3 linked regions of the Neodiprion lecontei genome follow. The protein of the gene in region 2 interacts with the protein of the main gene of each other region in a biochemical or structural test. Links are inferred from orthologs where the notes say so. Each region holds a gene or a part of one and is shown on either strand. Other genes may lie near its edges.

What was found.
Region 1: the proteins of E3 ubiquitin-protein ligase MARCHF6 (region 2) and ubiquitin-conjugating enzyme E2 G2 form a complex in vitro, tested with the Homo sapiens proteins (2 studies listed by BioGRID). The link is inferred for Neodiprion lecontei from reciprocal best matches to the Homo sapiens genes MARCHF6 and UBE2G2.
Region 3: the proteins of E3 ubiquitin-protein ligase MARCHF6 (region 2) and ubiquitin-conjugating enzyme E2 J2 form a complex in vitro, tested with the Homo sapiens proteins (2 studies listed by BioGRID, with this or other methods). The link is inferred for Neodiprion lecontei from reciprocal best matches to the Homo sapiens genes MARCHF6 and UBE2J2.

The regions. Positions count from the first base shown.
Region 1 is NC_060266.1:5,469,863-5,473,618, reverse strand, and holds ubiquitin-conjugating enzyme E2 G2, read left to right. Parts: upstream 1-1,444; 5' UTR 1,445-1,684; coding exon 1,685-1,727; intron 1,728-1,821; coding exon 1,822-1,903; intron 1,904-2,619; coding exon 2,620-2,738; intron 2,739-2,820; coding exon 2,821-3,080; 3' UTR 3,081-3,207; downstream 3,208-3,756. UniProt on the Homo sapiens protein: Accepts ubiquitin from the E1 complex and catalyzes its covalent attachment to other proteins. In vitro catalyzes 'Lys-48'-linked polyubiquitination. Involved in endoplasmic reticulum-associated degradation (ERAD).
Region 2 is NC_060264.1:29,024,495-29,028,250, forward strand, and holds the start of E3 ubiquitin-protein ligase MARCHF6, read right to left. Parts: upstream 2,654-3,756; 5' UTR 2,506-2,653; intron 2,481-2,505; exon of another isoform or gene 2,340-2,480; intron 2,309-2,339; exon of another isoform or gene 2,066-2,308; intron 2,041-2,065; 5' UTR 1,996-2,040; coding exon 1,609-1,995; intron 1,529-1,608; coding exon 1,198-1,528; intron 1,099-1,197; coding exon 704-1,098; intron 619-703; coding exon 1-618. Other genes in the region: uncharacterized protein C7orf50 homolog, read left to right, coding at 2,927-3,093, 3,196-3,373, 3,569-3,756. UniProt on the Homo sapiens protein: Endoplasmic reticulum membrane-associated E3 ubiquitin ligase that plays a critical role in mitigating endoplasmic reticulum stress, the regulation of cholesterol and lipid homeostasis, and ferroptosis.
Region 3 is NC_060263.1:37,178,095-37,181,850, forward strand, and holds the start of ubiquitin-conjugating enzyme E2 J2, read right to left. Parts: upstream 2,314-3,756; 5' UTR 1,745-2,313; coding exon 1,620-1,744; intron 1,464-1,619; coding exon 1,229-1,463; intron 981-1,228; coding exon 852-980; intron 756-851; coding exon 543-755; 3' UTR 1-542. Other genes in the region: serine/threonine-protein kinase Pink1, mitochondrial, read left to right, coding at 2,911-3,025. UniProt on the Homo sapiens protein: Catalyzes the covalent attachment of ubiquitin to other proteins. Seems to function in the selective degradation of misfolded membrane proteins from the endoplasmic reticulum (ERAD).

The sequences.
Region 1 (3,756 bases), on a different chromosome or scaffold from region 2:
GTTACCTACGTGGTCCGAACGCTATCGAATATCGCGTTAACATCGCAGAGACAGGAAAGGTTTAGGGAATGCATGTGTAGCACACCAATAAGTGATAATCGGGCGAATCTAACCCTCATTTAATCGAAAACTAGCGTGCTGATTTTCTACTCCGGTCGGAGTAAGGCGGCCCTTTTTTTCCCCTTAGTTGGGCAAGACTTGAGTTTCTAGATTTCACCGTGTCGGTAGAGTTCTACATACTTAGTTTTCGTTAATACCCTGCTAGATTTTTCACCGTTTTTATATTATCGTAAATTACTTACCGGAAAGTGGCTCCTTAATTATTACAAGTATACAACACACTGATGGATTAATTTTCAAACAAGAAATTGATGTTTTTTTTTTTTCTTTAGGTTTCTATTGTCGTTATTACGGGTACACGTTGTTATTATGTGTATATTTATTTATTTTTTTTTATTTCTTTTCTTCTCTCTCCTTATCACGGGGCAGCACACATCGAGAGCACAAACGACGGAGGACCTTCACACTCTACACAAAAGTGGAGAAATTTCTACACCCGACTGAAGTTGGCTGCAAACAAACAAGCATCACCACCACGATCGATACGCAAGATGGCGACTGAACACTTCGATAACCGGGAACTGAGAAAGCAGCGAACGGTGAAACGGTGGGCAACGCTCACCGAGTCGAACTAAACGCTCACGGCTTGAAATCCAGCACTAAACCATATGGCTCGGTCAATGATGAGCGTGTTCGTCCGTTAGTGTCGCGACCCGCACGCCACACAGACTTTTTCAAAGTCTCTTCACCAGCGCCAGACTTTGCTACGCTTTGTCTACAGCTGTTTTCGCTGCTGATACACAATACCAGAAAACGATATTCGATCAGTATTATAAATTTCCAAATTTGTGAACAATGCAATTAGTATATATTCAAAACTTTCTGGACAATGTTAGCAAAGCCGAAAGTAATTTGTTTGTTAAGACGTCTTACGTATTTGACTTCCGAAACAACGCGTTGTTGCTTTGGACCTCTTGTCACCGTATTTTCGCTTCGCGGTGTTTGGAAATTTCAATTTATTTTGTGCGGTGCATAATTAATTTCAGCTTTACATGAAACAGCAAAAAGACTGCAGTGTGGGGTCGAATAGAGCTCAATAATCCATTGAATCCCTACAAATGTAATCGACGGTCTATTAGTTACTTGCTTGACGAGTTAAACAACCATTCGCAGAGTTTGCTGGTTTAAAATGATACATTAACGGCGAAAGATTGTGCCGAAGGTCCTTTTACCGCTACTGCACTTCCATGCACTTTCTGACTTTGTTCCGGAGTTAGTTGGCGGTACAGTCACTTATATTTTATTGCTGTTGCACCGATGGGTTAACTACGAGTTCTGTCTCTGTCTTGTTGATTTTTTAGCGCTGGCGGCGCATTTTGAAACGTACGCTGTGCATGATCGGAAACAGTACCAATAAAAAAGTCTCATTACCCAACACCGCTACACTTTTGAACATTTTATACGCCAGCCGGTAGAGCGCAGTATTTCATTGGCAGATTTTCATCATTTTGATATCAGTGTAGGAAAGTGTAGCGGCCACAGCAGTGAAAGTATCCCAAAATTACCATAGGTGACATGTTGAATCGACCGTGTTAACTTGGGCGAATAATATTTAGCAATAATTATGGCGGGTTCTGCTCTTAGACGTTTAATGGCAGAATACAAACGTGAGAGAATGTTTTGTTTCTCACGGTATACATGCTGATACAATTGACGTGAAATATATTCTACATAACCTCAAAATTGTTGAATATTTTTCAGAATTGACACTGAATCCTCCGGAAGGAATAATCGCCGGACCAATTAACGAGGAGAATTTTTTCGAATGGGAAGCTTTGATCACGTGAGTCAACCGAACTTTTCTTTCAACACGTCTGTTACTTAAATCGAAACTGACAGCTGACACTTCATGTCTTCCATATTAATTAAAATTGCTGCATTGGCGGTATCTCATAGCGAAGATAGGCCTACGAACCAGTTTTTCTCGGTAAAAAAAAAAAAAAAAACAACTGCGATGCGCCATATTTTTTAAATATTCAAATTGTTCCGTAAGTTGGCGCCAAAAATTTCTTTCGTTTCAACTCTGCCAATAATATGTAAAAAAAAATCGAACAATCCCTCTATTGTCGGAAATTTCTTATTTCAAATTTATTAATTGATTTAGACGGTCAAACATTAAAAATTGATCAGCAGAAAAATTTGCTTTTGGTATATGAAAAGTCTGAAATTTTGACACTGGGATTTTGTTCTATTATTTCTAATGATGAGAAACATCTGCCACATTTTACAATTTGAGGTGAATTTCTAACAAAAATCAACACAGAAGAATAAAACTATGTTCTTTTAATTGTTCAGTAAGGTGAAGTTCGATCCAAAAATTTGAGGATAATGAAAAGGTCAGGGCGAGAAATCTGATCATTGACATTTCATAACTCACCATTAAAAGTTCTTTCTGTGGGAATTGTAGATTCTATGGGATACATCTATGTGAAATGAAATGTAATAATGTACATTAAGTACCCATTACATTCAGAATTATATTGAATATGAATTATGCAGCGGACCCGAAGGAACTTGCTTTGAAGGCGGAGTATTTCCAGCAAAGCTAATTTTTCCCCCTGATTATCCCCTGAGTCCTCCAAAGATGCAATTCACATGTGAGATGTTTCATCCGAACAGTAAGTTTTGGAAATATTCATCCAATATATGGGAAATAAGTATACAATTGTGTGAAGTGTTGATGGAATTTTAAACCCACAGTATATGCTGATGGAAGAGTTTGCATTAGCATTCTTCACGCGCCGGGAGATGATCCGATGGGTTACGAAAGTAGCGCGGAAAGATGGAGTCCTGTGCAGAGTGTAGAAAAAATTTTATTGAGTGTCGTCAGCATGTTGGCAGAGCCTAACGATGAGAGCGGAGCTAATGTTGACGCGGCTAAAATGTGGAGAGAAGATCGCCTTGAATTTGAGAGAATTGCACAGAAGCTAGTTAAGAAGACTCTTGGAATTCCAATATAGTCTTATATCATAAAAATGAATCCAATGTTATCTATGTACCAATTGTTTTCATCATTTATTTACTGCTCGTTAAATTATCAAAATAATTGTATATAAAACGTGAAATATGGAATTTAGGTTTTCAAAACTGTGTTATCTCTGTGATATATATTTTTCCCCATCGTCCATCTGTATTCAATGATCAGTAAAGAATGCAGTTCTAATGAAATATGTTTCATTCGATTTCACCATTTCGCCGAGGTATGCGTTCGATCCATTCAATTTGAATGGCTCTAAAAAAAACCAAACAAAGATACAAATTCCAGACTCGGCACAAACTACTGAAAACAAAGTTCCAGGTGTGGGTAAGTATATGGAAAAACGACTGTACAAACATGACATAACATGTATTAAACAAATTAAATAATCATACGGCTGGTCTGTCCGTAATGTAACAATTATTTGTTTCCTTGATAGCGATTAATTATTGTTCAATGTAAATTGAAAAACATGTTAAATATTTTTCTTGGAATAATACTGAGTTGATTACAAATTAAATATATCTTCCTAATAACGGATTGCTTGTAAACTAATAATACTAACCATCTTTAGGTAGAGTTAAGTCAACGTTCTTTGCTGTTACTTTTGCACGATATATTTGAATTACATATTGTACTCATAAATTAGGTAAGGTAAT
Region 2 (3,756 bases):
TCCCGGCCATCCCCACCTGAGCAGCTTCACTGGCAACCAGAGTACTAGTAGTACGACGGTTCCAAATATGACTGCAGACGCGACGAGTCTTCTGGCGTGTCTGAGCAGTGGTAGATGTATCATCTCTTGGATAGGCGAGAAATCCGGATCATTCAAGTTTCTGAGAAACCAGAGAACCCCTGGCCTCACAACTTCTCTTAGAAGTAGAATGAACGAGGCAAAATAATATATGTAAACCATTCCGACAAGCCAGTGAATGAACATTGAAGTTCCAGGCGCCAGCCTGAACGAAGATTCTCTGTCTCTGAGACTGGCGTCAAACATTGCGAGAGAACAGATGTCGAGCCACCAGCCGCACACTAGTGGCAAGACTCCTATCTCTACAACTGACAATAAAGAGACCTTCACGACAACGTAACAAAGGCCTAGAACCCTCTGCGATCGCTGCAAACCTAGAAGAGCTGCTAGTGTGTGCAAAACCACCATAGAAACGGCGATCACACAGTAACCGCAAAGCGTTGTTACTAGTCCCTCGAAATGCGAGGCTGTTACATGTTCTTGTAGACCTAGCCACGCTATTGTGATGTGCCCAATGTGATAAGGGCAGAAGGCAAACACCTAGAATGAAAAATGAATTGGTGATGTAATTGATTCAAGACATCTCAAACATAGCAATGTTCATCTTCAATCTCTCTATGCTCACCATTATGAACAGAGTGTTCAACGAAACCACCCAGAAAACATGCTCAATGAAAAGAAGCGACCCGTCTAATCCCAACAGTCGCTCCCAAGTTAGTTCCTCGGCTGGTCGATCCCATTCCATGGGATTCCAATTTGCCTCTTCAGCCTCCCCCTGGCCTTGACCTTGTGCCCTCCATCCTGCACCAGCCTGGACATTGGGCTGGGCACCATCTATGCCTGGCTCGTCCCTGGGAGGAAATACTGGTTCTTCTTCTTCACCTCTGAGCGCCCCATCTGGATTCCCTATGTTATTTTCACCAACTTCTGGGTTTAATATATATTCCTCTGGATTTTCGGGAGCATTGTTCAGTATGCCTTCGCCTATATCGGGATCCAGTGGAATATCATGTTGGTTTTCTGTGAATATTAAAGAAACATTATCAGTATTTGAAAAAAAATGTTCTTGATCAACAATCGTACAGTAAGATTGTAAGTTGCATCAATTTTAAAAGTAACCTTCGATATTGTGTTGTCTCTCCTGCAAAATGGGAGGTTCTTCAACAAAGGGAGGTACATTATTGTTATCCTGAGCTTGCGGCTGATTATCTGCAGGCTGGTCTTGTCCTGCTTGACCATCCTGCCCATCTCGATGAGGAGGGTTATCAACCGGAGGCAACTGTACATTGTCTCTCTCAAGCCAGTCGGGTCCTCCAGCATGGAGAATTTGTTCACGCAGCCAAATCAGCCCGATGAAACCAAAAAGAGTGCAGGTTACTACGAAGCACCCATGGAACACGTCTGAGGATAAATTTTCTGTCGAAAGCATATCCATCGGCAGCGACATTATCTGAGAAAAAAAATACAATGATTTTCTTTTTCCAAACCATGAGATATTTGGATGGACGTAGATATACTTAGATGACTAACCCGAACTAAATCCAGAGACCCGCTGAAAAGAGTACGATAAGTTCGACAGGCTGTGAGTGGAACAATGCCGAGCCATGCAATGGCGACCAAGGTGTAATGAAGCCAATATTTGACAGCTGTAACGATACTGGAAAGCAGCCCGCCGACAACATCTCGTAGAGGAAGACGTCTGGGCATGTCAGGACTGTAGATCGGCGTGAAGGAGAAGCGGTAGCCACATAATTCACAGTATTCTTTCCGCGAATACCGCATCCACTGCACTAAGCACTCCTGATGTATCCATTTAATACTGCCGGTGCAAATGCATGGATGGAACAGCGGCCTATCCGCCAAACCTTCGGATCTGCAGACCCTGCATATGTCTGACCCTAACATGTCCTCCGTCATGTTGGTTAAGTTATGTTGGTAATATTTGCTTCACCACCAATGTAGCTGAAAGGGAAAGTCATTCCTGTGCAAAAAGGCAGTTATACAAATGTCTTATGCTTTGAAAAATACACGGCTGACATCGCGATTGTAAATGTCGTAACTTAACTCGAGGAAATGATTTCTGTTGAAATTGCGTTATACCAAGTGATATATTCGACGGTAATAATAGCGGAATTTGGCGCATCGTCAGTGGGGTTAAGGGCGGATTGAATGTCACAAAAACATCAAGATATTGCCGAGTGTATATATTTACGTTGTTACGTAACGAACGGTAAGAGGATACCTTCGTATTCTGCTACTCGTATCATGAGAAATGTGCCTTAAAAACGAGTCCTAAAATGTAAGTCGGAGGTGATGTGTAGGCGATGGTATTTTCGTCGTCAAAACATCGGTTCATATTGCAATAATAAAACTATATATTCATCGCTGCGTGTAGTGTAAAGGTACGTTATGAGAGCTCTTACTCACGTATGTGTCTACGTATATTGTATATACGAATATTTTACTTTCTTCTCGTACCAAATTGTGGAACAAAATCGAAAACTATTGATGGATCATAAATGTCGTGACAAAATATCTACTGCTATTTCCAGCTGCTTCTCTCCTCTCACTTGCAGTCGTACCAACCAATCGCGAATGTAGTTGTAGGAACAAAAAACGTCCGTGAAATCGCACTTCCTCTTAACTTCCTCGTCGCGTCGTATGGGTTCGTGGCGCACCCAATCAGAAATAAGTTACATGTTTGCCTGTTCACCTCTAGAGCGGTACCATGCAATATGAGAAAGAAACACGCGGACATCACATACGCGGATGAACAGATTGAACAAGATTTTGAAGGTTATCAACACCGAGGCCGGTTGCTTCAGGGAGAATAGGTTATCAAGTTTGAATGGACGTCGATGAGAAATCACACAAGAAGGAAGCGGGGCGTAAAAAAAGACGACGTAGTGATAAACAGGAGCAGGTTGTCGAGGACCAACAGTCGAAGCCAGGAAAACGAAAAAAGGCAGTGACTGATCCTGTGTTTGAAATCGAGTCGAAGAAATTGCGTCCGAGGTACGCTCTGTTTTTATTAGTAACTAGTTATTGAGAAAGAATCGTTCTCCAAAACTGTACTGACGATAGTGATAAGTGTAATAAGCGAACTTCTATTTCCAGCAAAGAAATTGAAAACGATGACGAGGCTGGAGTATCGACTGAAGAAAGTCCCGCGAAGGAACCTAAGGAACCTTCTAAAAGACAGATGAAGAAGGAGAAGCTGCAGAGGAAAATTGCTGAGCAAAAAGAATCTAGCAAATTAGAAGCAGCTCAAAAAGCGATCACTTATATATCTAAGGTACCTGCGATAGCCTATAATTTTTTTATGTAAATAGTCCTAAGAAGGTGCCCTAGTTGATTTTGACATTGCCTTATAAATCTTCATATATCAAGTTTCAGGTATCTCAAATGCAAAAAATATATATATATATCGTCGTCGAAATCGACCAGGGCAGCCCCTTAATGTTCCTATAGAACTTAATTTAACTTACAGTGGAAGCATGCGAAGAGCGACTGGAAGTTTGAAAAACTAAGACAGATATGGCTGATGGACCATTTGCTCGATCACAATTCAGTGCCAGACTCGATATTTCCTATAGCTTTGGAATATTTTGAAGGTTGCAAAGGAATGGCAAGGCAACAGCTAGTTAAAAAAATGATGCAAGTAGTAAAGAAAGTCGA
Region 3 (3,756 bases), on a different chromosome or scaffold from region 2:
TCGTTTTTCATGAATGAAAAACATGAAATAAATTGAAAAATTTGCATGATTTCGCGAGTAATATTGTGCTTAATTAAAATGAATAACAAGGTAGAAGGTATTCTATAAATCTATAGAAATATATCTTCTTCATATTACTAATATTTTGTGATTTAGAATCTGCATATTCAACGATAATTATAATGCGAATACTAGATAACACATGAAAATTGAAGCAAATAATTGTTAAAAAGAAATATTATAGATGAATAATGGAAATGCATATGTTTGAGTTGGATAATGCGAGTAATTCACTCAACCATGTGATTACGGACCTGGTTACATTAGACTGAATAGTCATTCTCGGTATCAAAACAACATCATTGTTTCCTATCAAATCCGTGTCCAGGACAAAAGAACTATTACCTACGTCTGCTCGACCAGTCGCTAGATATCAGATCTTTCGAAGCTCCTAGTGTGTTTTTATAACAGAAACACGAACCCCATTCTTAGGTTTTCAGTAGAACAGAACATAATATGTCTATGATATAACTAGAATTAATTTACTCGGTAGCAATGCTTCTCAAAACATACTTCACAGTATAGGCAAACGCGGCAAAACCTACGATAACAATGAGGTTAGTGAGGGCACTATGAAGCGGACTCTGTTCTCTCTGAAACTGATCTCTAATTAACGAAGATACTTCAGATGCTGTCGACTGATGCCTTGCTTGCTTTTCCAGTTCCTTGCGGTGCTCCAACTCTGCTTTTATAGCCTATCGAGTGAAATCATTGCATCTATGTATCTAGTTTGCTGCATAATGAGTAAATGAATCTTAAAAATTCATTAAACAAAGAGGTTATCGACTTACCGATACCGTGTCTGGGAATAATTCACAAAATGTACTATCCTTGAGGTTGTACTCAAGGCTCTGCGATGCCAACAGCCTTTTTTCATAGTCTGGTGTCTCTATGCTGCCCAGTGTCGGGCTCTTTTCAATCTGTGCGAAAACAATATCCATATTTCAACAGTTTTCCAATATCTCAAAACTTTTAATACATTGTAAATATTTGAAATTTTGACTGAAACCAGCAACATGTCAACAATAAGTAGAATATGAATTTTTCCATTTGTTTTAAGTATTGCAACAGTTTTTGAAACAATATTGGCGAAAACCTTAAAAAAAATATGCAATTTCAATGTGAAGTACTAGCACATGGGAAATGTACTTTACTGAAGCCTTCTTACCATGAAGCTAAGGAGACCGGTGAGAATGGTGGAAACACTCCATGCCGGGTTCCAAGTGTCTGGATGAAAATCGGATATGGATAGACAAAGCCGTGTGTTTACTTTGAATCTGCCGTTTGGCGTGGTCATGTATATGCTAGGTGGTTTGAAAGGAAACTCCCGTGGAAATACGAGCTTTCCGTGATAAAATCCACCCTCGTAAGGTGTACTTTCCGGACCGTTGACAACATAATGCCTGTAAGTATAAAAATAAATAAACAAATCAATTGTCTCGTCGTAGGCTTGCAGCCTGATTCAATGCTATACGTCGACTGACATCAATATTGTGCAAATGGATGAATTGTCAATCTTTTACGCACGCGAAGGATCAAAATAATGTTATCTTTATTACCATTCTAATATATTCGAAGGTACGGGTTCAGCTACGACGTACGGCACCGGGTCCTTTTTCAGTCTCAAATAGTCTTGCTTTAATCTAGCAGTGGCAGTGTTTGGCTTTCTATTCATTATTACCATATATATATAAACTAGGCTGGGTTGATCGGTACTATTGGTAATGGAAACTTCACTGTTTTCACACTTGTATTCACGAATGAGTATTAATTATTTCTCACATCAGGCTCAACTGTTTTTCGTGAGACACATTACCGCGATACAATTAATTACATGTATACGTATAACGTGATAACCTATTTTCGTAGAGGAGTCAGACGTCAGTTTTGACGATGAAAAAAAAAAATGATAAAAAAAAAAAAAAACCACGTCAACGTTGTAAAGGTTAACTGGAATTTGAGCGTTTGGAAAATACGACTTCACGGTACACTCGCAGAGTTTTGATAATACCTGGCTAAATACGGGGCGAATATTATTGCGATTGTTAGAAATCAGGAGTCACAACGAATGAAAAAATATCCTTCGACTTTGACAACCAACAATTTTCACGGCACACAAACATATGATGGAAGACCCGTATACCGGAAGTGAAACAATCCAGCATCCTGCGTAGTTGACTTGTGCGCTTTACGCATGACCATTATATTCCAAGTATCGCTCATTGTCAGGCGCACTTTCGTCATTCGAATCGTAAATACGGATCAATTCAGACTGAGAGAAGTTGGTTGACTGGAATTATTTTTCTTTATGCGTGTCCTCGCACTTCGCCAAATGTATCATCAGTAGACTGAACAGATTTTACAACGCAAGTTTACCTTTATAACGCCACAATCGCGGATGTACTTGCGAACTAGGAAGTATGATAAGTATCTATGCTATGACAGAAAAATTAATTATACTTATACCGTTATATTAGCGTTGTTGGCGATACGATTTTTTTGTCGCATTCAGCTTCACTAGGTACCTTATCCGAAAGAAGGAAAAACCCGCGAGTAGTATACGTCCTGTTTCCTGATTTCATATTTTCCCGCGCTTTTGCGGATTTCGAGTCTGCGCAAAATGGAGGCTGATTTCACCCAATCGGGTCCGAAAGGCAGGTTCATCCATGGGTATGATAATTGCAAATGGTGAACTTTGAACTGGCGACAAAAGACGTGTTCGAATTCTTTTAAAAATAATTAGAGTGTTCCAGGACTCTTGATAATTGCGCGATCAAAATTTTCCAGTTAAAACTCTTCGCGTCTGGGTTAGGGCCCGCCCGGGCTCTCTCGGCCCACGAGTGCGGAGAAATGTCGTTACGAACGGTAGCGCAACGTCTCCTGCAAAATGGTCGTGTCCTTCTCCGTTCAGTACGCAATCCACAATATTACACGCAAGGCAACAAAATACACGTTGTGGAAGTAGGTAAGGGCCTGTTGTCATCTTCTACCCGTGACTATCATACTCAAATCGACTCGACACATCAATCTCATCAGTCCGGTACCAATTCGCTGGCAATCGTCACAAATAACCATGTCACTATCATTAGGTTATCCCTTGCAACGTAACGGCGTATTATAGGTATGTCGTACTTGGAATGTATATGTAAATACTGCATTCATTTGAAACGTCATTTCCAATCTCAGAGCTGGTACGAATCGTTGTTTTCATTGTCTTTTTTTTTTTTTTTAGTAAAATCACTCGAGGCACCTTCATTGTTGCGATTATACGCACTTCCAAGTTTTGTACAATTTTATATACTCAGCATTTTACATGTGATTATATACGTTTAACGCGACTGGTGCTCATAATAATGTTAGATTTTACTCCCGCTTCAATTCAGTGTAGAGTGTATTCTCATTGTTTTATTCCATACTTTCGACTTGAAACATCATTTTATGCGAGAGAGTAGGAATAAATTACTTTCATGTTGAGAACAACACAAAGAATTACAGAATCAAAAGCAAACATTCTTGTTTACTATCATACTTATGGGACAATTTTTAATTCAATTCAGATTTTTATGTATCAATTAGTTAGTTGATTGATTACTAATGAACAAGAATTCTTGACTCATAATTAATTTCTTCTTCAACTATAATCTAATAAATATTTCAACACCATAAAATAAAAATAAAATTTCTTGCCAAACTATG